Solanum lycopersicum: one gene and its partners. The protein of the gene in region 3 interacts with the protein of the main gene of each other region in a pairwise test. Links are inferred from orthologs where the notes say so. Each region holds a gene or a part of one and is shown on either strand. Other genes may lie near its edges. The genes, in order: PLASTID TRANSCRIPTIONALLY ACTIVE protein 6, chloroplastic; B3 domain-containing transcription repressor VAL1-like; abscisic acid receptor PYL3; WPP domain-interacting protein 1; TCP20; transcription factor MYB111-like; probable serine/threonine-protein kinase WNK5.

The links.
Region 1: the proteins of abscisic acid receptor PYL3 (region 3) and PLASTID TRANSCRIPTIONALLY ACTIVE protein 6, chloroplastic interact in binary tests that used the Arabidopsis thaliana proteins (3 or more experiments, as listed by UniProt). The link is inferred for Solanum lycopersicum from reciprocal best matches to the Arabidopsis thaliana genes RCAR1 and PTAC6.
Region 2: the proteins of abscisic acid receptor PYL3 (region 3) and B3 domain-containing transcription repressor VAL1-like interact in binary tests that used the Arabidopsis thaliana proteins (3 or more experiments, as listed by UniProt). The link is inferred for Solanum lycopersicum from reciprocal best matches to the Arabidopsis thaliana genes RCAR1 and HSI2.
Region 4: the proteins of abscisic acid receptor PYL3 (region 3) and WPP domain-interacting protein 1 interact in binary tests that used the Arabidopsis thaliana proteins (3 or more experiments, as listed by UniProt). The link is inferred for Solanum lycopersicum from reciprocal best matches to the Arabidopsis thaliana genes RCAR1 and WIP1.
Region 5: the proteins of abscisic acid receptor PYL3 (region 3) and TCP20 interact in binary tests that used the Arabidopsis thaliana proteins (3 or more experiments, as listed by UniProt). The link is inferred for Solanum lycopersicum from reciprocal best matches to the Arabidopsis thaliana genes RCAR1 and TCP9.
Region 6: the proteins of abscisic acid receptor PYL3 (region 3) and transcription factor MYB111-like interact in binary tests that used the Arabidopsis thaliana proteins (3 or more experiments, as listed by UniProt). The link is inferred for Solanum lycopersicum from reciprocal best matches to the Arabidopsis thaliana genes RCAR1 and MYB111.
Region 7: the proteins of abscisic acid receptor PYL3 (region 3) and probable serine/threonine-protein kinase WNK5 interact in binary tests that used the Arabidopsis thaliana proteins (3 or more experiments, as listed by UniProt). The link is inferred for Solanum lycopersicum from reciprocal best matches to the Arabidopsis thaliana genes RCAR1 and WNK5.

The regions. Positions count from the first base shown.
Region 1 is NC_090803.1:56,299,551-56,303,785, reverse strand, and holds the start of PLASTID TRANSCRIPTIONALLY ACTIVE protein 6, chloroplastic, read right to left. Parts: upstream 2,801-4,235; 5' UTR 2,531-2,800; coding exon 2,024-2,530; intron 1,312-2,023; coding exon 1,243-1,311; intron 1,116-1,242; coding exon 1,011-1,115; intron 466-1,010; coding exon 346-465; intron 1-345. UniProt on the Arabidopsis thaliana protein: Essential protein involved in plastid gene expression and in chloroplast biogenesis.
Region 2 is NC_090805.1:50,704,604-50,708,103, reverse strand, and holds part of B3 domain-containing transcription repressor VAL1-like, read left to right. Parts: intron 1-2,243; coding exon 2,244-2,854; intron 2,855-2,942; coding exon 2,943-3,039; intron 3,040-3,176; coding exon 3,177-3,351; intron 3,352-3,500. UniProt on the Arabidopsis thaliana protein: Transcriptional repressor of gene expression involved in embryonic pathways, such as LEC1, ABI3, and FUS3. Repressor of the sugar-inducible genes involved in the seed maturation program in seedlings.
Region 3 is NC_090807.1:67,225,026-67,229,044, reverse strand, and holds abscisic acid receptor PYL3, read left to right. Parts: upstream 1-1,219; 5' UTR 1,220-1,619; coding exon 1,620-1,754; intron 1,755-2,744; coding exon 2,745-2,960; intron 2,961-3,283; coding exon 3,284-3,502; 3' UTR 3,503-3,909; downstream 3,910-4,019. UniProt on the Arabidopsis thaliana protein: Receptor for abscisic acid (ABA) required for ABA-mediated responses such as stomatal closure and germination inhibition.
Region 4 is NC_090809.1:846,055-850,342, reverse strand, and holds the start of WPP domain-interacting protein 1, read right to left. Parts: upstream 2,801-4,288; 5' UTR 2,456-2,800; intron 1,909-2,455; 5' UTR 1,829-1,908; coding exon 808-1,828; intron 1-807. UniProt on the Arabidopsis thaliana protein: Mediates and enhances the nuclear envelope docking of RANGAP proteins mediated by WIT1 and WIT2 in the undifferentiated cells of root tips.
Region 5 is NC_090807.1:65,638,203-65,641,549, forward strand, and holds TCP20 (TCP transcription factor 20), read left to right. Parts: upstream 1-1,436; 5' UTR 1,437-1,504; coding exon 1,505-2,617; 3' UTR 2,618-2,847; downstream 2,848-3,347.
Region 6 is NC_090805.1:3,706,665-3,710,768, forward strand, and holds transcription factor MYB111-like, read left to right. Parts: upstream 1-1,416; 5' UTR 1,417-1,533; coding exon 1,534-1,666; intron 1,667-2,498; coding exon 2,499-2,628; intron 2,629-2,720; coding exon 2,721-3,351; 3' UTR 3,352-3,604; downstream 3,605-4,104. UniProt on the Arabidopsis thaliana protein: Flavonol-specific transcription activator involved in the regulation of several genes of flavonoid biosynthesis. Activates the expression of CHS, CHI, F3H and FLS1. Controls flavonol biosynthesis primarily in cotyledons and leaves. Confers tolerance to UV-B.
Region 7 is NC_090808.1:13,977,158-13,981,127, reverse strand, and holds the start of probable serine/threonine-protein kinase WNK5, read right to left. Parts: upstream 2,801-3,970; 5' UTR 1,941-2,800; coding exon 1,845-1,940; intron 1-1,844. UniProt on the Arabidopsis thaliana protein: Regulates flowering time by modulating the photoperiod pathway.

The DNA of each region.
Region 1 (4,235 bases), on a different chromosome or scaffold from region 3:
CCCCCTTTGCCTCTTACCCTCTTCCATGCAAACTCCTCCTGAACCCTGCACCCTTTCCCTTGAACAAAACAACCATTTCCCCAAATTTCTGTATTCCTTTGCACCGTATAATTTAGTCAGAATTGATTGTTGAGCGGTGTAAATTGTTAAACATCTCTTCAAAGAATTAACAATCCAATTTTTGGAACTCCAATTACACAGGCAGCAAATTCAGCTATGAAAATAAAAAAGCTATGTCCGCGAAATAAAAGATGATCGCTTTATCAGCCAAGTTACTTTTGATCAATAAAAAATTAGCTAATCTAGAAGAAAAGGTGTTCAATCAAATTTGTAATGATTCCTTACCACTACTTTGGCTCTTGTAATTGATTTGGTTTTAGAATCAATAACGTATATTTCTTCGAAATCAAGAGCAAATTCTGGATCACCTGCCCTGCGATTCCTGTAGTGCTTTGTCAAGAATACCTGCAACAGAAACATGCTGATCATACGACCCATAGAATGCAAGATTAAACATTCTTACCTTCCTAACATAGCCTTCATACCAGTCCAGAGGAGATGTCTGGATTAACTACTTGAACATCATAGTTGTGTGATACAAGCATAAGAATTTTGATGAACATTTTTCAGGATACATGGATGGAGTACAAGAGATCAATATATAAGACCTAAGCAACAAAAAATCCAAAATGATCACCAAAAATGGGTAATAAAGTTTACGACCTCCCTCCAAAAACAAATCAAGAACAAGGATTAAGGAGGAAGATTTGCCTGAAAGCAAAAATAAAGAAAAGAAGATACAAAAACAAGAATACTAAAAGTGTTGTTCCTTGAACTTTTTCCTTTCATATTTTTTTATGTCTCAATGAAAGCTCATCTCGTAGTCCAGCTTGCATTTTACATAACAACTAATACTACTTCACAAGCTTCATACCTTTAGCAAAATAAACTGCATATACAGCATATGACAGAACAAATGTCTAATCAGTTGAACCAGAAGACATCAATACCTTCATAATTTCCCTCTCAGATTTATACATGGGATCTCTAGGTGCATCAATGGGAGGCTCTGTCACATTGTAGCACCCATAATCACTCATCGCACACCTGATATACTACATGAAAAAACATATTGCTGATCAAGAAGTTACTTAAACCCAGTATATCTATTGTAAGTTGAATCATAAGTACTCAAAAGTAAGTCATACAGAATTCAACATGTACAATCATAAATATATAAACCTTCTGAGGCATTGGTGCAAGAACTCTGGGAATGGCATATATATCAGTATCTGGAGGTGTAACATACATCTGCATACCGAATAGAAATGATACTTCATTAGCTAGCACATACATTGTTAAAACGGTAATTAACATTCAAATTTCACTATCTGAATTCTCCTACACCCCAAACTTTGGTCTAATGTTCTTTTCATATGCCGACCTACCCATGTTGAACATACACACGGGTGCGGTAGTACTAGGTGCAGTCCTTCAAATACTCCATAAACTTTATCAAATTGACAATCTCACCAGGATATATATCAATTGGCATACCAAATACACACCCATATTTGAGTCCATGTAACATGGAAGGACAAATCCCTATTTCTTTTTAAAAAACACATCTGAGGTGTAATCCACCCAACAGCGTGTCCAGTCCACAATCACAGGTTTTGCCAATGTTATTATGCTCATAGGTTGAAGCAGATTGGCACCAAGTTTGAAAGCTATTATTCCGATAGTGATCAACAGTACATTATTCCCCTGACTCAGCCTCTAGGTCATCCCTTTTGGACAACCATGTTAACCATTTTATCAAGACAGAAATCAACAAAGTGTTTACATCAATATGCATTCCGAACAACATTACATATAACACTAGGCAAAACGCTAAAATGAAGATATTTTATCCATAAAAAGAAACCATATATGCAAATTCCAATGTGCAGATTCTACTGCAAACATACTAATGCTCCCAGCAGAAAAAAAAAAGAAAAGAGACAGAGACTCAGAATTTAACCTCACGAAAATCATAAACATCGTCATCAGGATCAGGAGGTTTACGAATGAAGAAATCACAATCGAAAAGGCAAATTTTATGAAACTCCTCCTCCTTAATCCTATAATCCACAATTTTCTCCGAATCCCATCCTTGAGTAAACACAAAGCTACTGCTATTCACCATCGCAATGTCATCATCACCCCTAGCAACAGCTAAAGATATAGCACTACCACCACCTAAGAGGGTATCATAGTCAACATCAAAGTCCTTCTTGTTGTCTGCTTCTTCCACTTCATCTTCGTCCATGTCATATTCATCTGTACCTCCACCGTCAGCATCTCCGTCATCCGCGAACACCCTGAAATCCGGTCTTTTTGAGCTCAAACTTTGTTTAACAAAAATGAGGTTGTTGGAAATTGTCTTAGCGAATGAAACGGTGAAAAGGGTCGGTGTAGAAAGTGAAGAAGGTGCAGTGGAGAAGGTTGAAAGCTTCACCGGAAGCGGCAAGAGGAGACCGGCGCTCATAGTTGTTCAGTGAGTGAAGAGGAAAAAAAAGTGAAGCGGGGGAGTGGATTAGATTTGTACTTTTTGTTACTCATATTATGGTCCTTACATATCCTAGATTTGATACTTAAGCCCCCTCGAAAGCAGGGATGGCAAAGATGCGGGGCGAGGTGAGGCGTGTTAAATTCGTTAAGAGCTACAAATGTTTCGATCCACCTAACCTTGCCCTGCCTATCTCATGTAGTAAAATAATTTATTTTCAATTTATTTGACCTCGTTTTATCATGTCCCTTTTAAATTCGTTCCACATAAATTTATTATATATAGTTTTTTTTATAATGACTTTCGTGCCACTTACTTTGTTCTATATATGTTAAAAAAGATTAGCTGAAACTTTTGTAATATAAAATCAATTATAAAAGCTTGATTTCTTGATCTTTAGAACTCCGATTGAGCTGATTTCTGTTTCTAATTGCTATTGGGTTTTTGAGTTAGGATTATTGGGGGGGGGGGGGGGGGGCATTATGGGCTTCTTTTGGAGGTAATTTCTCGTTCAGAACCTCCTTTGTTATCTCTTTAATGGTGATTTCTTGAAGTTTTAGTGTATGAGCTTTTAAGGTGGATTTAAGGCTTAGATTGTGACCTTTTTGGGGGCACAGGCTCCTCGGTTGAATAAGATCTCTCAAAATGCAATTTTGATTTGTTTTAAATTTCATCTTCAATTATTGTAATTTGGGTGTCAAAAAAAGTCTATATTAATGTCGTGGTCATTCATTTGATAGTGTGACCACAATTGGAGGCAATTCAGAAGGTTAAGCTCTTGCTTAGTGATTAATTTGGAGCGCGCATGATCAATTTTGAGGTAGAATACGACTTACCGATCTTAGATTGAGTTTTTGTTGCTATTTTCATGTTATTTAGCTAGTATTGGGAGGTTTATCTATCTTGAATCATGTTTTGTTGATAGAACACGTGATTTTAGCCCCTTTTTGGATAGTTTTTGGGAAATTGAGCATTCCTTCTTAGTTTACATGTTGTATTTTACCCTGTTGTATCTATTTGTTTGATTGTAGTGATATTGATGGCTTGTTCTTTGCCTTAGACTAGGCATAGGCTAGTGATAGCCTTAGACTTGCTATTTGGAGCTATTAGGCTTTAGAAATCCCCTGCCTTCGCTTCAGACGACTTAGCTCTCACTAGAGTGATGTAGCAGACTTGGGAATGATAATATGAATCCTTAGCTATGCGACAACTCAACTCGTGTAACTGTTCGTCCATATATTTCCTTATGTAACCTTAGTGGGACACAATCAGAGTCTAATAGCCATTGTTCGAGGCCTTAACACATCTCTTATAACCACTCTTTGAGGCCCTACCGCATCTCTTTTAATTTAGCAATAGTTTGAGGCCTTGGCGCAGTTCTAACAACCTTGGTGTGAAGCCCTAACACATTACCACAAGCCACAATTTGAGTCCGGGTACAATTCTATCTGTCAGGCTTAAGTCTAGACATTGTGGTTTCATTGGGTTCTTTGGGTTGCCTTCGCCGCAATTTGAGTCTGAGGACGGACGTTATAGTTCTTAAATACTTCTAATCCTTGCTAGTATTATCTTTAGCTCTTATGTGATCTCATCGAGCTTATGAGGGTCCATTAAGGTTATTTACTTTCCAATTGTGCATTAATGTACCTTCTGGGCTTATGGAGGTCCAATTAGGTTATAGATA
Region 2 (3,500 bases), on a different chromosome or scaffold from region 3:
TAGATATTAAGATAAAATGTTTAAGATTATTATAGCATGGTTAATAAAGAAGTGTTTATAATAATAATTTGGAATGTAACGATTAAGTAGTGGTTTCAAAGACGTGAAATAATAAATAATAGTGGTATTTTACTCCTTTTAATTTAGGTGACACCATTTGGTTGGATAAGAAGTTTAAGATATGATTAAGAGAGAAAATTCACGTCTCATAAACTTGATAGGTGAATAGATTTTGAATTCTAGGAACTTGTGAAAATTGTATAAAATAATATTTATTAGTAGAATGGTGTGAAATATTTTTGAATACACCAAAATGGAAGGTTGTACAAAAATTGGCATAGGATTACTAATATAAATTATTAAAGGAAGAATACTTTTCATCAATGGAAAAATGTCAAACTTATTGGAATGGATCAAAAAATTAAATTGGTGATTGTGGTTGGTTACTTGGTTTTAAGGTTCATTGCAGTAAAGAAATGATATTGAAAATCTAGAATTGTTCATTTACACATTAAAATTTTGGATGAAAAAATATTTTGTTAAAGGAAATGGTCAAAGAAAATTGTAAATAGAAAGGTAGATGGGTCAAGATATTTGTATAGTTATATAACATATGTACATACTTTCCTTTATTTATTTCTGTTTCTCTAATCAATCAATAAATCAACCTCTTTTTTATATAAACTTCTTTGTGTTTTATTGACGTTTAGTATCATACATATTAACTTGTCAAATTTATCTTTTGCCCTCTCTTGGCAAGCTTACTTTTTAATTGGCATATATTCTCTATTTTTAGTTGTCATGTACTTAAAAAAAATTATTTTACTCATGATCGCTCGCTTCTAGTTATAATAATTAGGTTCAGTTTGTGTAGAGATGTGTATGTAGTAAGAGGTAGAGAATCTCAAGTTATTGAATTATTGGAATAATTCTTGCAAATGAAGCAAAGCAAAAAGTGCGATTATATATTCCACTATAGAGCGATCCAACTACCGTCGAACTTCTCTATAGCAACCATCCTTTGACCCTATACCAACATTTCACTATAACGGCCAAGATTGTTTTGGAATTGATTTTTCATGTTACATTATATTTAACTTTCTATAACAACATTTCACTATAGCAACCAAGAGATATTGAGGCAAACAACGCCATTATAGAGAGGTTTGTAGTTAAAAATGAAGCTTTAGTAGTATTAGTAGTTGGTTATTTTAAAGATTTGTGGATGTAGTTAAAATAACAGGGTCAAAATTAGCTCTCCAATAATGGGAGAAGAGTGAAGCCAATGGCAGTTTACTTTCATGCTAATAACCATCAATGGTGAAAATTCGGACGGCCACTGCATTATATTACTTTCAAAACTTGACATAGTAATTCTGCAAATGAGACAGCTTTTGCACTTGAGAGAAATGGTCTATGTATCTTGGTTTCTAGGTCTCTTAGAATTAGGCAGTCTTGTGTCTGTATTGTGTCCATGCAAGTGTCATTTCCATGCTACACAGACACAACAGGTTGCTCTCTTTTTTCCTTTTTACATTTTCTTCTGTGCTTTGACATTTGATTATTTGATATTCAGACGTTCACTTGCCATTCTTGATATGTGCTCTTCTTGGCAAGCTTACTTGGCATATTTGAATACACTGTCTTATCTTTGCTTGTCATATTTTAAGAAAACTTTCTAAATAATATTTTAAAGATATGGGTTAGTATCTAAAATGCAGGGTCAAAATAATTTCTCTCCATTATGGGAGAAGAGTTAGGTTAATCGCAGTTTGGCCCCATGCTGGAGTACTGAGTAACCATCCAGAGTGAATTGTAACCTTAGTATATCACTTTTTATAGTATATCACTTTTTACCCTTCACATAGTAATTCGGTAATTGATGCAGCTTTTTCACTTAAAGCATACATTCTATGTGTTTTTTTGTTTTCTGGCGGTATTATAACTATATATCTGGCGTCTATATTGTGCCCTTGCAACATTGAAAGACAATCCCACCAGAAAGCCAAAACCTAATCCCTGAAAGAAACAAACAAATTCAAGATATTGATGAATGAATTTTCTCTTTCTTTTAATTCACTTATCTAATCGGAGTTCGTTTTACGTGTGCTTTGAATGTGTATGCCCATTCACGTGGTATTTTACTAATTGTTGCATTCCCCGAAAGTATTCTCTTTGACAAATGTAGCTGATTGTTAGTTGACATAATTTGAGTCTTAATCATCTTATAAATGCTTTTGCAGATACCTGGTGATGATTTTCCTATTGGCAACTTGGGATCTAAGAGTGCAAAGCCACTGGGCATTGAGAATAAAATAGATGAGAATGACTTTGAACGAAGAAGGTTTATGCAGACCAATGAGCCTGGTCAACTCTTTCATACGCAGAGGAATGACAAGAAACAAGATCCAATGCTTCCTATTGGTAATGTCGGCACATGCTTTTCGAATTTGAATCAGCAGAACATTGGGGCTTCTCTCTTTGGCAAACCCGATAATGAGAGACCAAGTCAAGGTGTTAAAGATATGTATGATTCGATCAATCAGCCGTCTCTAAATTTTTGTCTAAGTACTCCAATTGGTACTTCAAGTTCAGGACAGCCTTTTCTTGGTGGAGATGTTGAAGGAAGGGAACAAAGCAAAACTTCTCCCTTCCAACAGGGCCAAAGGGCACGCCATATATTGCCCAAGCCCCCCAAACCTAGTCCCACCTCAGGTTCTGAATCAGTCAAAGGAATGGTTTCACAAGCACGGATTGCAAGGCCACCTGCTGAAGGGCGTGGTGGACGCAGTCAGTTACTGCCTCGATACTGGCCTCGGATTACAGACCAGGAGTTGGAGCAAATAGCTGGAGAGTATCCTTGATAACATATTGTTTTTGGTTGCTATTATCTTTGAGTTGTGTATTGCTCCTATTTTGTTTTACTTTAACTTGAATCTCAGCTTAAAGTCTACTATTGTACCATTGTTTGAGAAGGTCCTAAGTGCCAGTGATGCCGGACGAATAGGGCGTCTGGTGCTTCCCAAAGCATGTGCTGAAGTAATAGTTACTTCTTCAGATTTTTATCTTCTTTGTGAAGTTTAGACAATATGATATCTTGCCTGTTATCTGTATGGCCTCGAATGGTTAGCTTGCGATGCACCTTTTCTGCTTAATCAATGCCAATTCCTATGCAGGCATACTTCCCTCCAATTAACCAATCAGAGGGTCTACCTATAAGGATTCAGGATATTAAGGGTAAAGAGTGGACATTTCAATTTCGATTTTGGCCCAATAACAACAGCCGGATGTATGTTTTGGAGGGTGTTACCCCTTGTATACAGAATATGCAATTGCAAGCTGGTGATACTGGTAAATATCCATGCTTTCATCTTATAAAAAGAGATATTTTTTCATCTCTGGCAGAATGGCTAGTTATCAGACTCGCTGTCTTTCCTTTAGTTTGGTCATCAATTGATTCTGTATTTGATAGTGATTATGATTTTCAGATAGAAATACTA
Region 3 (4,019 bases):
TATTCAATTTCAGTTTAATTTTCCCTTATGTATGATTATTTAGTGGTTGTTTGGTGATTTAATGATGGATTAGCAGTGGATTAGTAATTGTGGATTCTTTTATGTATGGTTTCACCCTAAAAAAAGAGTGAAGTATGTATTTGAGGAGATAATAATTCAATTTTAAAATATTTTTATTATTTATTAAAATAATATTTAATTTGATCTGAATATAATTAAAGTTGATTGTCTAATAAAAATATTTATCTCTAAATGAAAATTTTTAATTTCACTTTAAAGTATTTAAATTCATCGAATATCGAAGAACAAACAGATCATTGTATTAATAAGTGTAGGCTAACGACTTATCCGATTGGAATGAAGAAAATGATTGACTAGAATCCAAATGTTAACAGGATAAAATGTTTTGATAATGCATCTATTTTATTTTATGAGATATATTTCTTCTATACTTAGAATAATTTAATTTTGAATTCTTTACTTTAATTTATTCTGACATAATTTTATAATGGAATCATGCAAATATCATAAATGTTTTGAATTATATAAATTGCAAGAATTTTATTCCTTTTGTTTTACACTGAAATTATATGGTAGATAATCCTAACGATAATCCCAGTAATCATAATAATTTGATTTCGAACCAAACTATACAATTCATTCGTCTTTTTTAAAGTTCGTTTTAGAAAAAAATATATTTTTAATTCTTTTTTCATATGATATATAATTAAAATCAATAAGATTAAATAACATGATATTTTTTTCTTTTTTTTTTGAATTCTTTGAATAATCGGAAGTTGCTATAATTTCTGTCATTTCTATCCGACAGACTCGACTCAAAAGTGTTGAGTGAGGATCAATCCCGAGTCATCCGCGTGAATAACCACCTTCAAAATCAACTAATCATCTCGAATGACATATGAAATGTAAATCGTACTAGATAAATTCTATGTGACAAAATCAACTCAGAAAATATTGAGGGAGATCAATCTCGAATTATCCGTAGGGATAACCACCCTCAAAATCATCTGAGTCATTCCAAAGGACATATATTTTTAGTTTATAGACATAAAATTAATTTTTTTTTTCACTTTTTAAAATTTATGTCAATTCAAATAAAATAAATAAATTAAAATAAAAGAAAAAACAAATAATCAAGATACTTTAAAGCCGACAAGGGCACAATATTATTAATAAAGATTTTAACCAATTACTTATCTTATAACATCAAATATATTATTCTAAAATAACATTATCAATTTCTACTTTTGTAAAAAGTAGTTTTCTCCATTTTAGATCAAAATGTTAATTAAATTTAGAAACTTAATACCTACCCCCCACCACCAAAAACCCCACTTGCACAAATTATCTTAATTATTTAAATTACAAAAAAATAATAACAATAATGGAGGTTTATAGATGTGGACGAGAAAATAAAAATATATATAAAAAAATAAAATAACCCATCAAATTTAAACCACTCAAAAAATTATTTCGAGGTTCTAATGGCGGTGTCTTTTGGCTTTTTCTAAATTAATTTTTCTCATTTTCCACCCTTTTTTTTTCCAGATTTATTCGCCGTCGACGAGGTTGTCGGTGCCGTTGTTTTTTCTCCGGCGATGGTCAGCATCATGAACGTTGATAGAAAAATTAGTAGTGAAGATGAGTATATTAGGAGACATCATAGACATGATGTTAGAGATAATCAGTGTAGTTCATCACTTGTAAAGCATATTAAAGCTCCTGTTCATCTTGTAAGTAACCCCAATTAAGATTCTTGAAAAAAAGTTTGAATTTTTATGTTTATTTTCATTTGTTAAGCATATTAGAGCTCTTGTTGATGTTGTAAGTTGCCCCAAGTTAGATTCTTAATCAAAAAAGGCGGAATTTTTATGTTTATTTTCATTTGTTGAGCATAATATAGCCCCTGTTGAGGTTGTAGGTAGCCCCTATTCAGTGTATTGAAGAAAAAAGATTGGATATTTATGTTTATTTTGAGATAATTGATGCAACTTCTCACTTGTTAAGCATATTGGAGCTCTTGGTGATGTTGTAAGTTGCCCCAAGTTAGATTCTTGAAAAAAAAATGACTGAATGTTTGTGTTTATTTTCATTTGTTAAGCATATCAGAGGCCTTGTTGAGGTTGTAGGTAGCCCTTATTCAGTGTATTGAAAAAAAAGATTGGAATTTTATGTATATTTTGAGATAATTGATGCAATTTCTCACTTGTTAAGCATATTGGAGCTCTTGGTGATGATGTAAGTTGCCCCAAGTTAGATTCTTGGAAAAAACAATCTTTATAGTGTTTTCCGATAACATAGATTATGGATTTTAGTTTTCACAATAGCTGTGGATTTGAGAGAAAAGAGGGGTTGGTTACTGAAAAGAGAGCTCCGTCTTTATCTGTTGAGGAAGCTAGTTGCAGAGATGCCTTGAACTTTTCTTTGGACAATGTATTTTAAGCTGTTTATGAAAGAGAAAAAAAGCAGTGAGTTTGAAACTATTCAAGACGTTTGATTGTTTTATTACTTCATTTCATTGATGTTCTTCGAACTGTTCAGGCTTGTCAATTGATCACTGGAAAAGATTGAAGTAAGTAGACTATTTTGGATTTCTATGGTTTACATGTATTGTATCTAAAGACGGAAAATGGATGTACCATGTATGTTTTTTTGTTTTGAGAAAGGTAACATATTTATGTTTTCTTCACTGGGTACTTACTGGGTTTTGGTATATTTGATAGGTTTGGTCATTAGTGAGGAGGTTTGATCAACCACAAAGGTACAAACCATTTGTTAGCAGGTGCATCGTGCAAGGGGACCTTGAAATCGGAAGTGTTAGGGAAGTGAATGTTAAGTCCGGACTCCCAGCTACCACAAGCAAGGAGAGGTTAGAGCTTCTAGATGATGACGAGCACATTTTTGGTGTAAAGATCGTAGGTGGAGATCACAGGCTTAGGGTATGAGTCTTTTATCTCATCGTTTGATATGTATTGAATATATCCATAACTTTTCCCTCGTAGAATCAACCATGAAGCGTGAAGTATCAACAAGTGACCTATATAGTCAAGTTATTGCTCTATTTATTCATGAAGTCTTTCTTGTGATCTTTTTATTTTATTTCCCTCTTTTTGTGTGTATTTGGGTTTGGGGGGTTGGGGGTATTTTGTTGGTTGTTCACTTTGGATTCTTAGGCTCGTCACCATATGTTCTGTTATTATCCCGGGAAGGAAAAACAAGAGATGATGGTGACTGTCTTAATTTTTCTTCACATTACTTGCAGAACTACTCATCAATTATCACTGTTCACCCGAAGGTCATTGACGGAAGGCCTGGAACAATGGTAGTCGAGTCATTCGTGGTGGATGTACCAGATGGGAATACTAAGGATGAAACTTGTTACTTTGTCGAGGCCCTCATCCGGTGTAACCTCAAATCACTAGCTGATGTATCCGAGCGCTTAGCTGTGCAGGGCCATATGGAGCCTATCGACAGAATGTAGGTTAACAGCTTCATCATTTTGCCAAGCGTGCAAGGATTTGATTAGAAAGCGAGTAAGAGTGACTGGTACTTATGCCGGTCCTTCTCGATCTCAGAAGTATATATATCTTTATCTATATATACATATATATATGTTCATGCTTCCTCTTCATCATCTGTAAGGTCATCGCGGTTTGTAAAATGCAATCAGTCTATTTCATAATGTGAAGAACCAGCCATGCTGTTTGTGGCTGTGCGTGAATTGAGCTTGGGTTGTAAACATCTATGCTCATTAAGGTGCTGTTTCTTGTTATAGGATCATTGTTGTGTGGTTATGACACGCTATACGCTCGTGTATCTTTTGATTTTGGTGTGTCAATATGTACCAGAAACAGTATTTGGTATATTAAAAATAGGGTGCTTGCTTTTTGTTCTGTGTTCCACTTTCCCCTTGAGATTTGTTGTACCGACTCGAGGGTCCTTAGGAAAACACAGGGTAAAGTTTGTGTACATTTTATCCTATTCAGACTCTACTTATG
Region 4 (4,288 bases), on a different chromosome or scaffold from region 3:
TATTCATGCCTTAAATTGGACAGAATTATCTCTCCTCCAAAACCTTTTTTGTGGTAAAAAATAGAACAGAACATGTTAATTACAGCCAATGAAAATGCACGTCCTGGTGCTTAAACTACATATCTTGAGCAAGCCAACAATATCAAAATAATAAATAGCAACACATTTATCCACCTTCAATGTTGCAATATCAGAATTTATTATAACAAATAGATATCAACTTTTCAAAGAGTATAACCAATATTTCATCATAAAAAAATAAAAAAAAGCATAACCAACATCTGTTGTACTAGCTACGAACAAAGTTAAAGGATTATTTTAGGCAAACTGAAGAACTTAATGGTATTGTTTCAATAACCTTAACTCTTTTGACATAATCTTGATTCTTGAAGCAATAAATGCATCATAGCGAAAACCATTAGAACACACTCAAATCCTTCTATTATGTACATAACCATTAAGATTACCAATACTACATCAGATCGAATTTCATGACTTGCTGTCACCTCTTCCTGAAGCAATGCCAGTCCTAAATTCTTGGGCATGACAACAAAATGTTCAAATTTGGGGAAAGCAGGGACGCGTCCGGGTCGCGGGGTGTGGGGACGTCGCACATAACTATGCAATGACTGCAATCATTCTAATACTTCTTTGAACTTAGAATAAACTTCCACCCAAAAAAGAAATTTGCTTCATACAATATGCTGAAGACTCCAAGCAGAAAATAGAAGGCATAATCAAAACCAAAAAAAGAACATACTAGAATAGGCTCAAAATCGTATACTTCAAAGAAAACTGAAGATCTACCTCTTTCAAGATTTTCCTGAGCAGCTTGAAGGGTGAAGATAGACTCCAGCAGAGGATCATGATCTGTGGACAACCCCTGATACCCACTCCTCTCTTCTTTAACCTCCCAGGCGGATTCAACGCCTAGATCTTCTTGAGTTTCACACTCCTTATCATTTCTTCTGTCTAGAGCAGTCTGAAGTTCCTCGCTGAATGGTCTTTCTCTGGTGAGAACTTCATCACTGAATTGTCCATCATTATTCACTGAGCTTCCACCTTTCATACCATTACTTGTTGCATGATTATTACTCTGCATAGGTAGAAAATTGGAGCTTTGTGAGTCGGATTCCATGCTTGAATGAGAGTTTTCCTTCTCTATTTTGACCCTTTCTCCTCTAGGCTTTTTACTAATTTCAGCCTGACCCTTTCCCCGATGAGATTGCTGAGCTGAAGTACCCATCTTCCCACCCAAAGTACCTGGCCCATTCTTAACAGGCATATAACCATGGAAAACAGGTGCTTCGTACCTTGACTTTGGAGCACTGGCTGCAGTCGAAGACCTACTACTCCGATCCTCACTATTTTCCGAGTCTGTTCCACCCAAAAATATAGGATGAATCGCCAACCCAGAATTACCAATAAGACCAAAGCCATCAACAAGAACATCAGGGCTACCCAATAGTGCATTTACTGAAGAAACAGATCCATCACTATTTCGGATCGATCCAGTGGACAAATGTACAGGTTTTGCTGAGTTTGCAGCAGAGCTCGACAAACCACGCTTCAACAACTTAGCATTGTCTGTGTTACTGTCCTCATCCTTGTGTGCTTCCCGCCTGATCCTCCTCCATTTCTTCAAGCCAAATCCTTTAGCTGTTGGTGAGGATTTCACTGAGGGAGGTGAACCCACTGGGTCCGCAGTTTCAATACCTTTACCTTTAGACTCATCTAAAATAGGGGTATTGTGATTAATAACACTGGAACCATTGCTTTCAACCTTGTTCCGATCTGGATCATCCAAATCTTGAAGTGTGGTGGTCATTGCTTCATGTCTTCCACCAACTAAAGCTCCAAACTTTGACCAATCAAGTTCGATTACAGCATAAAGTTCAGGGTTTTAGCCTTTTAGACAACATAAAGAAGAAGAATAAGTCAGATCGAGATCGAGAATTTACTTACATAACTTGGATAAATGAATTGGATTATCCGATCATTACACTAACAGCAACAAACTAATTGGATTTAGCTAAACAAATCATCACTATCGATTATACTCAATCTGGAACCAAAGATGAATCCAGTAAATTGATAATGAACTGAATAGACAAATAAAAGTTGGGAAAGCGACAGAACACTACATAAACAGAAAGTCCAATATAAGCAGATTAAACTGCACTCATTATTAAATGAAAAAAACAGAAATGAAGAACTCAGATCAAGATCGAGAACAAACAAACAACCATCATTCCAGTTCATGGAAACTGAAAATCTATCAAAATTCACTATAAATTGAATTGCATAGCTTGAGTAAAAATTCCAGCTAAAAACACTAACAACAACAGCAAAATAAGTGGATTCAGCTAAATGAATGGATTATGCTCAATTTGGAACTAAAAATGAATTCATAAATTTGTGAAGCTATATAAAAAGAATACGAAATCGTTCATACCTTCTCCTCCATGATCGATGGATTTGCAGAAATGAGATGGAATTGAGGAATATGGAAACCCTAGATTTGATGTGGATTCAGAAATTTATAGCCACAAAATTGCTACAACTGATAATTTGGGGAAGACGACTTGAAAAGGAGTGGGGTAGATCGGGTCGGGTTGGGAGTTGTTAATAATACGTAATTGATTATTATTATTTTCAATAATTTTATTAATTATTATATGAACTATAGGAAGAAGTTGACAACTTCAATTTTTTTTTCTAATTTACTATTGACATTACGAAAGATTAAGAATTTGGGGGATTACTTTATGTTTGCGATGGAATCACTACACAATAACTCGATATTTATGATGCACGATTTGAAATTTCAATAAGCAATAAACTCGCTTATTATTATCTTCCACTTAAATTTCTAACTTGATGTTTAAAATTCATAACGTGTATAACTCATAGTCACAATATATTCTATATCTAAGTGCAATATCACTAAGAAAGGTCGAATATTAGTAGTGCACGATTTGAAATCTCGATAGAAGATTATACTTTTTAACTTAAATACCAAATGTGACCGTTTCATCAACAACATTGTTTTGTTTGGTACAAATGTGATAATTTCTATAACATGCTATTACACAACGGTAACCAAAATTAAAACGTTAGCTTAACTTATTATATCAATCAAATCATTAAAAATATATATATAAAAAGAAATCATATTAGTTTTGTAAAAATTTAACACAACCAATTTGATTTAATTGGTTAAAAACTATTCTTTGTACTTATTTTTTATAATGAATAAAGTTGTGTTAGTCCACGTGAAATATTTCCTTTAGATTAATGAACTAAGTTAAGAATTATGCAAGTATCGAATATAAATTTTGTAATATCTTTTCATTTGTACATAACTTTATGTGAAAAAAGTTTACATATATGTATTGATGGGAGGTAAAGATTAGTAGATATCTTATTAAAATATAATCGAGATACGTATAAACTAACTCAGACGTCACGATTATAATAAAAGGATGTGGATAGAACATGGGAGAGCCAAGAAGATAAAGAGACCAAAGTGGGGCAAAGTAGTGTGCAGATGATGTGGAAACCCACATGATGCAGTGTTTTTTAGGGGAAAAAAATGGAAAATGACACTGCAGAAATAACTAAGTGGAGGTCAAATCTGTGTGTTCAATTATTGATGGAATCTTCTTTGTGTGAGAGGAAATAATTAGGCACTTTGCCAGAGTATTTGACAGAGAAACATGTTGCATTTAATTGTTACCTTCCCATATATTTGTATTTTCAAAAACGATCTCTCTATCTTCACGAGTAAGATCTATATTTATTTTTGAAAAACGATCTCTCTATCTTCACGAATAAGATCTACATTTATTTTCAAAAAAACAAAAGAGTTCTCTTCGAATAAATGGATTGTTCTATCTTTTTGTTTCCTTCAATAAGGAACACTTCACCTCATGGCAATTTCCAACACGAATCCAAATTAATTGATTCTAAAGCTAATATTGTACCTCGAGTGACAACAAAAGAGGTACCCACTCTAAAAGAATAATACATAAATATGACTTTTAAATTGGCTTCAACGAATAAGTATGCCTTTCCACTTTGAGTGTGCACAAATAGTCACTTACACTTGTATAAAATTGAACAAGTAGACACACGTGTACTACAGGACGTAATACATGTAGGATGCCACGTAAAGTTAAAGATTATAGTTTTAAGTGTCTACTTATGCACAACTAAAGTTAAAGGTCATAGTTGTCAACTAACGTCAAATTAAGGTCATAGTTGTCCACTCTAAATGGTGAAAAAT
Region 5 (3,347 bases), about 1.6 Mb from region 3:
AATTAACTATTTATTAAGCTTTTCTTAAAAATATCAAGTAGTATCTATTTAAAATTGTGATTTTTTAAAAGATAAGTAAATAATATGAATAGAAGATGATAATGGAAGAAAATTAAAAAAATACTCAATCTAAGCAATTTGCGAGCCACAAATTTACCATATCATAGGTGATATAGGTTTTGAAACCTACTATTTTATCAGTCTCAAAATATTTTATTTTTTCCATTAAATAGTTATTTCAAAATATTTATCATTTTTAAAAATTCAAAATAAAATTAAAAAACTGATTAATCGAAAATATTATTAGCACTTAGAAGTTGTTTGGCATAGGATATCAAATAGATACAGTTATCTCATGTATTGTGATATTCCATAAGATTAGTTATCTCACCATGTTATTTGAGATAACTTATTCAATCATTATAATACATATGATGAAATAATTTTCCTAATTAAACGCATAATATAATACTCATAATTTTTTTTTGATATTATTATACTTTATTGTAGTGATATAATAAGTACTTTTTCATCTTTAACCAAAGGGCTTAGATTCAAGTATCCTTGGTTACAGAGTCACCTTTGTTAGGTAGTGTTTTATCCCTCAATGTGAGACTTTTCAAGATGAATTCAAATTTAGTCGAGCTGGAAACTAGATATCAAATGAAGAAAAAGAACGGACACCAAATGAAGAAAAAAGAAATAAATATAAATACCAGACATCGAATGAAGAAAAAAGAAAGAAGTATAGAAACTACCTCTAAAAAATGGATACCGGACATCGAATGAAGAAATAAGAAAGAAATATATAAAATACCTCTAAACTAGAGGTAAATTATTAGTTGCGTTCTTAAACTATTAACAACCTTAAAAACACTCATCTACTTGACTAACTAAATTTAAATACACCATCGACTCATCTCCAATCTGTCATACAACATACCAAGTGACTTCAAACTCTTATAAGAGCATGATATTCTTAATAAAAAGTCAAGTTAAGTGTTGAAAACAATCATAAACTTGATAAAAATTTAGAAGTGTATTTCAATTAGGATTATATTTAAGTTTGTTTAGTTAAAAAAAAACATTTTTAAAAATGATATTAATAATTCACATTAAATTTAAAAGTATCTTCCCTACTTAACCCCCCAACCCACCCCAAAAAAAAGAAAAAAAAAGAAAGAAAGAGTATACCTATAACCCACCCACCCCTCTCCCTAAAGTAGAGCTCCCCTTATTATGGTGGGGACCTTATTGTAGTGAAGGGAGAGAGGGCCACATTTTAGATCCATTTTTTCTCTTACACCAATTGTAGGACCATTTGTGGCAGTCAGTATGGTCCACTCAGAAAAAGTCACACTTTTCTTACCCCTACACGTGTCATCATCCCACTCACTCTTCCCTTATATACCTCTTCAACTTCCACCGTCTGATTCATACTCCCATTTCCCACTACTCACACCTTTTTTTTTCTTCTTCTTTTCCGAAAAAAAAAATTAAAAATATGTCCAGTTTTCATGACCCAGATGATGATTGTGGCACCTCCGAGCTCAGTAACGGCGCTGCCGGAGATCTAAATGACCAGAAAATGGACGGTCATGCAGTTGCCGATGACAAAAAACTCGTGTTTTCCGCTATGAAAGAAGAACCGTTTGATTCCGATCATCATACTTTGGTTCCATCAATGCCTATGCCGGTAGCTACCGCCGCCCCTCCGCGGAGGTCCTCTACCAAGGACCGCCACACAAAAGTAGAAGGACGTGGACGGAGGATCCGAATACCTGCTACATGTGCAGCTCGGATCTTCCAATTGACCCGAGAACTAGGTCATAAGTCCGACGGAGAAACTGTTCGGTGGTTGCTTGAACAGGCGGAGCAATCTATAATTGAAGCTACCGGAACCGGAACTGTACCGGCGATAGCAGTTTCTGTTAACGGTACTCTTAAGATTCCGACGAGTTCCCCGGCGAGTAATCCAGAAATCGACGAGAACCATCCACAGAAACGTAGAAGGAAATCATCAAACTCAGAGTTCATTGATGTCGGAAGTTTGAATAGAAATGCTGCAAATGTTTCACAATTTGCTCCGGTAACAACCACGCCGGCAACAATAACCACCGCTCCACCGCCGGGATTCGTACCGGTATGGGGTATGAGTAATGGTGGTATGATGGTACCATCCAATGCCATTTGGATGATACCAGCTACGGTCCCACCAGCTCAAGTAAACGTGACCAATAACAATAACGTCGTGCTCCAGTATCCTCAATTATGGACACCTGTATTTAATTTGGCCACGAGGCCAATACCATCATTCGTGACTGCAGCCACGATTAATACTAACGGTCCGCCAGCAATAATGATTGCAGGACCGTTATCAGTGAATAATGGAGCAGCCACAACCACGGGGCCTAAAATTGGATCGAACAAGTCTAGCATGGCTCCAGCTAGTTTAAGCTCTAGCACAGATAAAAATAACAACAATACAAATGATGTTAAACCTCATATGCTAAGAGATTTTTCACTTGAGATTTATGATAGAAAAGAGTTACAGCTTATGAGTCGAAGTGGAAATCATCAACAAGAAACTCAAGTTACATCTTCAGAACGTTCATAGATTCAAGTGATCGTCATAATTTATTGAGAATCAATATAAATATAGAGGCAGAGTTTAGGCCAAATATGCTCATGATACTCTTGTATGTACAAACTACTAGAGGACACTAGCTATTCACTTTTTATTTTGTTTCTTTTGCTTTTGTTAAACTAATGTTAATTAGAAGTTGAATGATGTGTAACTCTCTTAGAAAAATTACAAATAAATCATTGTATAATTGTCAAAGGAAACATTATCATCCTTCAGCTTTATTATAATTTAGTTAACTGTGTATTAAAGATTTGCATTATTTTAATTGTCATGTCTTTCAAGCCCTAAAGTTAGAATTCATTGAAGTGGAAATCAAATTACTTCCAATTAACCTAACCTACTTAGTGCTTCACTACATTATATGTCACATAAGTGTCATTCTTGCACTTACTAGGCATCAAATATTTGGTCTTTTATTTCTCACCCATACTTATAAACAATTTTCACAAAATATTACTTTCTTTCGTGGACGGTCAAAATAGAAAAAATAAGTTTTCTCGAAGTGAAGATATATTTGTTTGCTCTATTAGTGTTCATCCAACTCTTCCATACTATCTTTGCCCTCGTAATATTTATCTAAAAATTTCTATCTGCCAACTGGCAGCACAAACAAACTTAATTAATAATCTTACTAGACAAACTTTTGACCATGATCTGTTTTTGGGAAATGAGAAAAATTATAAAGTGAGTTTCTGAAAAG
Region 6 (4,104 bases), on a different chromosome or scaffold from region 3:
ATTAATTTTACAGGATTGACTACTATTACTCTCTTAAATTTTACAGGGTTAGGTTATGATGGTTGAGGTTGAGATATTAATAACTTAGCTTTGATTTAATATTTTTTAGATTTAAGAGATTAAAATGAGTAACAATTATTTATCTAAATCATATTTGACCAAATTCTTATTTACCTATATTATTTTATGGATGAATTGTTATCCAATCTATTTTTAACTCAATCCAGATCCAATTCATTCAAAGTCAATGCAATCAATCCATTTGTTACCTCTAATAGACACTTAAACTTAAATCAAATTAAACAAATAAACACGCACGCCTTACATGACATAACACACATAGGACACCACACAAAACATAAAATTATTACACATAAAATAAATACATTTATCTATTTAATCTTTTTATAAATTTAAATATATATTTGTATAAATTCAATGTTAATGGATATAAATAATAGATAATATCAAATTAAAAGACATAGTCACTATTAAAAAACATTCACTTATTCGGAGACCAGTCAACAATATAACTAAATATTTTTTGAATCCTCTTTGTCTTCTGTAACTACACCAATATATTCACTTATTTCATATTATAAGTATTATTCAATAATAAAACCCTCCTTTTTTCCTTCCTTTAGCTCCGTCTCAAACATCTACTTATTTTTCTTAATTATTTTTTATGACAAAGGAAGCTCGCCGTTGTTGTCTTTTAGGTGCGTACAGGTTAAAAATCTCCTTTCTTTGTAATAGCTCGCAAATCACATGAGGTAATCACACTAGGCAATTCTTATGCGACGAGCTCGATCCAGAAGTTAAATTCTTATTTTTGCTGGCAAGAGGTTTCGAACTTGAAACCTCCAATATGGAAGTCCCAAACTTACGCCCACGTGATAGAAAAGAGAAATTAAAGATGGAGAATTATATCATTAATTAAGTTGATATTAAGAAAGATAAAAGTTGAGATTACTTCTAATAATTGAGTTATTAAGATTATTATTATTTTTTTGGAATAATTTTGAGTAATATCAATGAATAAGGTAGACACAAGACGTGACGGTGCTCATGCCACGGCTTTCTTCTATATTGCGTGGTATTTTCAATCTCCAAATAATTCCTCTACGACTGACACATAATGCAAAATCTTCCACATTTTAAAACTTTGGTTTATTTTTTTCTTCTTTTTTCTTTTTACCTTCAATAAAGATATGTCCTATCCTTAAAAGCTGTCAACAATTATGTCATAGGTTCTAAAATTTTTATTATATTTTTTGTAAAATAAAAGACTATTTTGAATAAAGTTTAAATACGTCCAAATTAGCATCATCATAAAAATAGGAAGAGGTGAGTAGGTGAGATGGAATTAATTAGTGCACCAAACTATTTGTTTCTTCAAAGTTCTACTATCTATTTATTGATATTATGTTTGGGGCTTTTTCATCATTTGCACTTACCAAAATTATCTTACAAAGTGTAGTGTATAGTATATAGTATAATAATTATATAATACTATACACTAAAAATTAAATAATGGGAAGAACACCTTGTTGTGAGAAAGTAGGTCTTAAGAGAGGGAGATGGACTTCAGAAGAAGATGAAATCCTCACAAACTATATTCAAGCTAATGGTGAAGGTTCTTGGAGGTCATTACCCAAAAATGCTGGTAATTAACATCGCTTCGCTTTGCTTAATGTGTAATTAACTCGTCTAAAAGTTTCTTTTTTATTTATTTATTTATACAAAAATCAGTGAGATACTACATTTTTGTTTACTTATACTTTCAAAGTATATGCTAGCTACATTCTTTAACTGAGTATGCCAATAAAATTTTATAGTAGCATCATGAAATATAAATTAGCTAAATGACCTAAAATTTTAGCCAGAATGTAATTTCTAATATTCTTTTATTTTAAAATAGATTCTATTTTTTGGTTAATAAATTTTAAACTTTAAAAAGTAAAAAGTGTTTTTTTAAAATAAAATAAAATACTCCCTCCGTCAGAAATTGTTTGTCATGTTGCGCTTACCGAAAGTCAATTATCGATATTTTAAACAAAAAAATTAGATATTCTAAAACTATAGAAAAAGTACTATAAATTACAATTTTTTGCATATTAATATGATAAGAAAATACATCTTAAAATATTAGTCAAAATTTTATAATAAAACACTAAAAATAATAATCACGACAAACCATATCGAAAAAGTTTGTTTAATCAAATTTTCCGGCCTAAAGGAATTTTGCCTTTTATAATGGTAAAAAGTAACGTACGACCTAGGGACTAAGTTGGCTAATTAATATCATACTATTCTAGGAGTTATTTATACTAATTAATAACATTTTTGTCAGAAAGAGCTGTAGTAGAAGAGTTAAATAAAATAAAAATTATGAGCTAACTGATTGTGTTATGTATTTTGATTTAGTGAATTATGTGTTCAATGGTTTGTTGCAAAGTCAAAAAAGTTTTTATTTTATTTTTGTGGTCCTTTGATAGGGTTATTAAGATGTGGAAAAAGTTGTAGACTCAGATGGATTAATTATTTGAAGAGTGATTTGAAGAGAGGTAACATAACCTCTGATGAAGAAGCTATAATCATCAAGTTACGTGCAACTTTGGGTAACAGGTTTGTTCGTTTTCATTAAACTTACAATTTTCTATTCACAATAAAAACTTAAATATAATTGTATAAATCTGAATGTTTAATTTGGTTTGCAGGTGGTCTCTGATAGCAGAACATTTACCTGGTAGAACAGACAATGAAATAAAAAACTATTGGAATTCTCATTTGAGACGAAAGGTGGATAGCTTTAGAATTCCAGGTGATGAGAAGCTACCACAAGCAGTTGTTGAATTAGCTAAAAAAGGAACACAAGTAAAACATATTACCAAACGAGGACGCAGTAGAAGAAAAATAATTACTAGAGTGTCAAATTCTACGAATGAAAATATCGAGTTTGATCATATTGATGACCAGATGTTATGGCATGACGATATTGTGCCGATGGACGCTAACTATGAAGTGCTAGATCAAGATTTTATTACAAATTGTTTATGGGACGATCAAGGAGAAAATCTCGAAATAACTGATGATAATGATAATAATAATAATAATAATGAAATCTTAAGTGAGGATAATTATGGTAAGTGGGATTGGGAATATTTAAGTGAAATATTGAATAATGAAATATGTGGAAATAGTACTAAAGAAACAGAGCAAAATAATAATAATAATAATATGTCATTATGTGACATTAATGACAATGTGCAGAACTGCATGAACAAAGAAGCAACACAAGAAAATATTGATCCCATGCAGAGTGATTTGGTAGCTTGGCTTTTGTCTTAATTTTGGAAGTATTACAATTAAGGAGATAATTTATATTATTTATTCCACAAAAATAAAGATCAAATTATGTATATTACTTTCTTTTTTTTTCTTTTCAAATTTCATTTATGAGATGAAAATATAATATGTTATTAGTGTGGTAGAAATAGACTAGGCATGTACAGTGGGTTTAAGTGTATTATTTGGTTTTTTTTCTTCTTAATGATGTATATATATTATTTATAAATGAATTAAATAAAAAGTTGTTTGCGTACTCTTCTTTTAAAGTATTATTATAAATATTTTTAATTTTTCTAAGAGGAAAATATAATTTTCTTCCTCATTTGATTATTTTTTTTTTAGAGAAAATGTATGGATCACTATAAATTAGAAATTCTTCTTTCGTAGCAAGAACATAATAACATTTACGATGTATATTTTTAAAAAATTTATTTTATGGAGAGATTTTTTCTCGATAGTCTTGATAAAAAAATTATATTAGCTTTATATTAAGGTCAATTAGAGAAAATGTACTAATATTTCTCATGTCTTAATTATCCTTTCACTGTGTTGCTCTTCATTACAATTTTAATTTTTAAATGATTAGCTTTCAATCATGTATCACTTTTTCTTCTCTTTATGAAATTAGAGAAAATGCATTTTTTCTCAACAGAATATATACATACATCCTTTTAATCATAATTAATACCCCTATCTATCTATTAATTGACTTAAAAATTATAAAAAAAAATTAATATATGAATGACTTATTTT
Region 7 (3,970 bases), on a different chromosome or scaffold from region 3:
ATGTTATTTTTTTGGGACTGACTAAAAAGGAAAATAAGTCATATAAATTGGGACAGATGAAGTAATTAACTACGCTCCATTCCAATTTAATTGTCTTACTTTTTGTTAGTCGGTTTAAAAAAGAGTGTTTCTTGTATATTGGGACAAGGTACAAGTACCCCTTAAACTATAACCAATATCACAAAAACACACATTAACTAAATTAAGGTTCTATTACTCCTAAATCCATTTTTTATGTAATTTTATACACTTTTTTAACTTATGTGACATCCAAATATCTCCCACGCGCTTCAAGTGCATGGGGTCACGAAGTATGCTACGTAAGCCAAAAGGTGTACAAAATTAAAAAAAATGAATTCAAAAGGATAATAGGACCTTAGTTTAAGTAAGATGTGTCTCTGAGATTCCGGGAGGGATATACTTGCTTCTTATCCCTTCTATATTTAGTCTAATTTTAACATTTTAAACCACAAGATGTAAAGAACTATACAAATATATTTAATTTAAGATCACAAAACTTAAATTTTATTTATTTATTTCTTAGCAGTCAAACTGAAAACTTCAAATGAAACATAAAAATGTACAATTTATCATGAATATCAACCATATATGAATTTGTATTGTTCGCGCCACTCCATTTAACTTGTCACATTATAACAGTATAATTATAGTTAATTTCTCTAGAACCAAATGTATATATCCTCCAAAAGTCAATTTTCTAGCTAGCCGAAGATTTGTTACTTTATATAGGCTATCAATCTATTTTTTATAGACTAGAGACAAGGTTTTCATGTCCTCCTCATGTTATTTCCTTTGTGCATAACATAATATTGTAGGGTCAAGCCAAGCCCTCTATACCTCTACAACCTAATTATGATAGATTAATATAAAAAGGAAGGGGGAAAAAATCCAAAAAGTCAATGAGCCAAAATCCCTATAACACACAAGTTTGTCACCTACCAAAACAAAATAAAAGGAGGAATATTTTTATCATCACGGGGAGAACCACCTTCTGTAATATTAACAAATAAAATTTTTATATATATATATTCTACAAGTCAACTTGCTTCTTAATTAATTAATAATGATGAGGTCGGCCATTTTAATTTGGATGTTTTCAACCAACATTTGCCGCCCTATATCATGCTATTTCTGAGGATAATCAAAATGGCAATTTATAAATAGTCATGTAGGACTAGGTTGAGCCACGTTTCAATTATTTCCATAGCTACCTATTTAATTTTTACCAGCATAAGCAATAATGCCCACTGAAATTTAGAAAATAATCGCCAATAATTAATATTTTAGTTTTTTTTATCTAATTACCAGTCCTCATTGGAATATTGTAGTGTACAAGCATCTAGTTTTCCTAGATTTTATTTTCTTTCATTCTTATTGATAGATTTGTTACTTCGTTAGGATTGGGATGATAAAATTTATAGCCCTTTGCTTGTACTTAATTATCTCTATTGAGAATTTTTCCTAGTTTTCTATAGTTTTATTTGTTAATTAATATAAATTTGTTACCTCTTAAGAATTGATATGATAAGATCTAGCTCCTTTACTTATATTTATCTTTATTGGGAAAAAAATATTTCTAATTAAATTCAACTAAATGCTGTCCAGCAGTAAAAGATTTCCACCCAAAAGAAGTATGACAAAAGAGCTATGAACTTTTAAACGCAAAAACAAGAAAATTAAATGAAAAAGAAGAGAAGTGGACTTTTCATTGGTCTATAGAGTAATTCTCAAAGAGATCAATGATTTAAATTTAATTTATCAAATTGATGATAAAGTGCAAAACAACAATATATATGAAGGAAAAAAAGATATGAAAAACTTACACGTCCATAGCGTTTAGATGAATCCACTTCCACATACTCCAACTCCAAATTTGTTCCATTAACATCAAGCATTTCATTCATCCCAACTTTAAGCATGTTCAACCAAATCCTTATACATACACAAAGAAGCAAACAACTCCAACAAAATATATTTAACAAGCAACTACTTTCTCTCTCTCTCTATATATATATGATTATCACTAAACTTTATTAGAACAAAAACACAAAACTAATGTAGTTTCTCTTGATGTAATTAAAAAGATAATAGATAAGCTAATGCTATTGAATCCGAGGCTTTCCTTCATGATTTTCATAAGAGAAAACGCCAAATAATAACCAAAAGAGCCTTGAGTAATCAATCCTTAGCATAATCCAAGACATGGCTACAACTTCACGTGAAAACTCGTAATCCCCACAAATCATTTGGAATAAGTCTAACACAAAAGAAAAAGCACTATAAGAGGTGAGGATGCAATCAACAAATCAAGGGAATATAACTAAATTAAAGTAGACAACAACTTTTCAATAGGAATTTTAAAAAGTGGGGTACTTTTTGACAACAAATATAATTGATGGGATTCTAAACTTGAAAAATCTATGGCCATGTTTTGGAAGTGACATTTTTCTTGAGTGGCGGATGATAATCACATAAATGAGATTTTGGACCAGAGAGCGATGTGATCGAATATGGAATAACTAATAAAAAGAATAGAATTTGAGAGAAAAGAGATGGAGAAAACTTTAATCTTGTGTTTGTGTGAAATATTAGGGTTGAATTAGAGGGATTTTGTAGAAGAAGACTTTTGGGATTAACAAAAGGGTGGGGTGTTTATGGTGAAATATGGCCTTTTTGAGATGACTTTATTACTGTAACACTGTTGACCTTTTGTGTATATCCCAATGTGTAATTTTTTGTTTAAATTTTCCTTTTATTTCCAATTTGGTCATATGTCCTTTTTTGTTATTATTTCTAGTAAGTTTTATTTGGAAACAGTTTTAGGTCAACTATAGAAGTTAGTACTTAGAAACGATTGGCCAAGCTTTTTTAATTTATTAATTATTAATGGGGTCTCTAAATTTGTCATATCATTATTGGTACCTTTTAAGCAAGCATTTTCTTTTAAAACTTATTCTCTTTTTTTTTTAATGATTTGTATCACAATCTCATTATTAGTTCATTAGAAATTATAAATAACTATTTTTCTTTTCTACTATATTAGAAGAGTGGAGGTACTAACATGTGTGCTTTAGGTCATAAATTCATTTTCTTGAGGACGGTTTTGTCATTGCAACTAATAGTCCTATTCTTAATATTATTCCACATGATTTTGGTTGCAATCTCAGTGTTATAAATGACTTTTATGCCAAATTCTTCATTCCTATGTTAAGTTCATCCTTTGTGATCTTCCCCCTTTACTTACCCATAAACTACACATTTTTCCTTTTCTTTTTATATAAATTGATGGAACATTATTCCCAAAAGAAATAATATGATGTGATGAAGACGATGAATTAGTACGATTTAAAAGAAGGAGATGAACACAAAAATGCAATTTTGGAAATTTCTAATGACATTTTTCTCATTAGTGTATAAATTATATACAAAATACTGGCCAATAATGTCAGTGTTGTAACTAGCTTAGAGTTGAAAATTTGGCTACCTTATTCTTGGAGTCATTTTCCGTACGATAGTGTATATTCGATTGGTCATAATTTATGCGACCTATGAATAATATGTTGTAAATATATATTTACTAAAAATATTTTAGTTACTCACATCATAAGTAATTGATTCTTTCAAATTGACATTTAAAAAATGATTTTCATTTTTCGCACAAATATATATATATATATATATATATATATATATATATATAGATAGATAGATAAATACACACAAATATATATCAAGATAAATATTAAACCGTATATGTGCCGACATTATTCGTCTAGGTTTATTATATATTAGAGATCTATAGTTATATTTTGAATAGATATAATTAACACTGAGAGATTTTATAGTTATATTTTGAATATAGATAATTCATTATTACTATTGTTTGAGATGCTAAGCTAAAAAGGGAAGGAAAAAAAAAGCTTGAGTATGACTTTTTTTCGTTTATTTC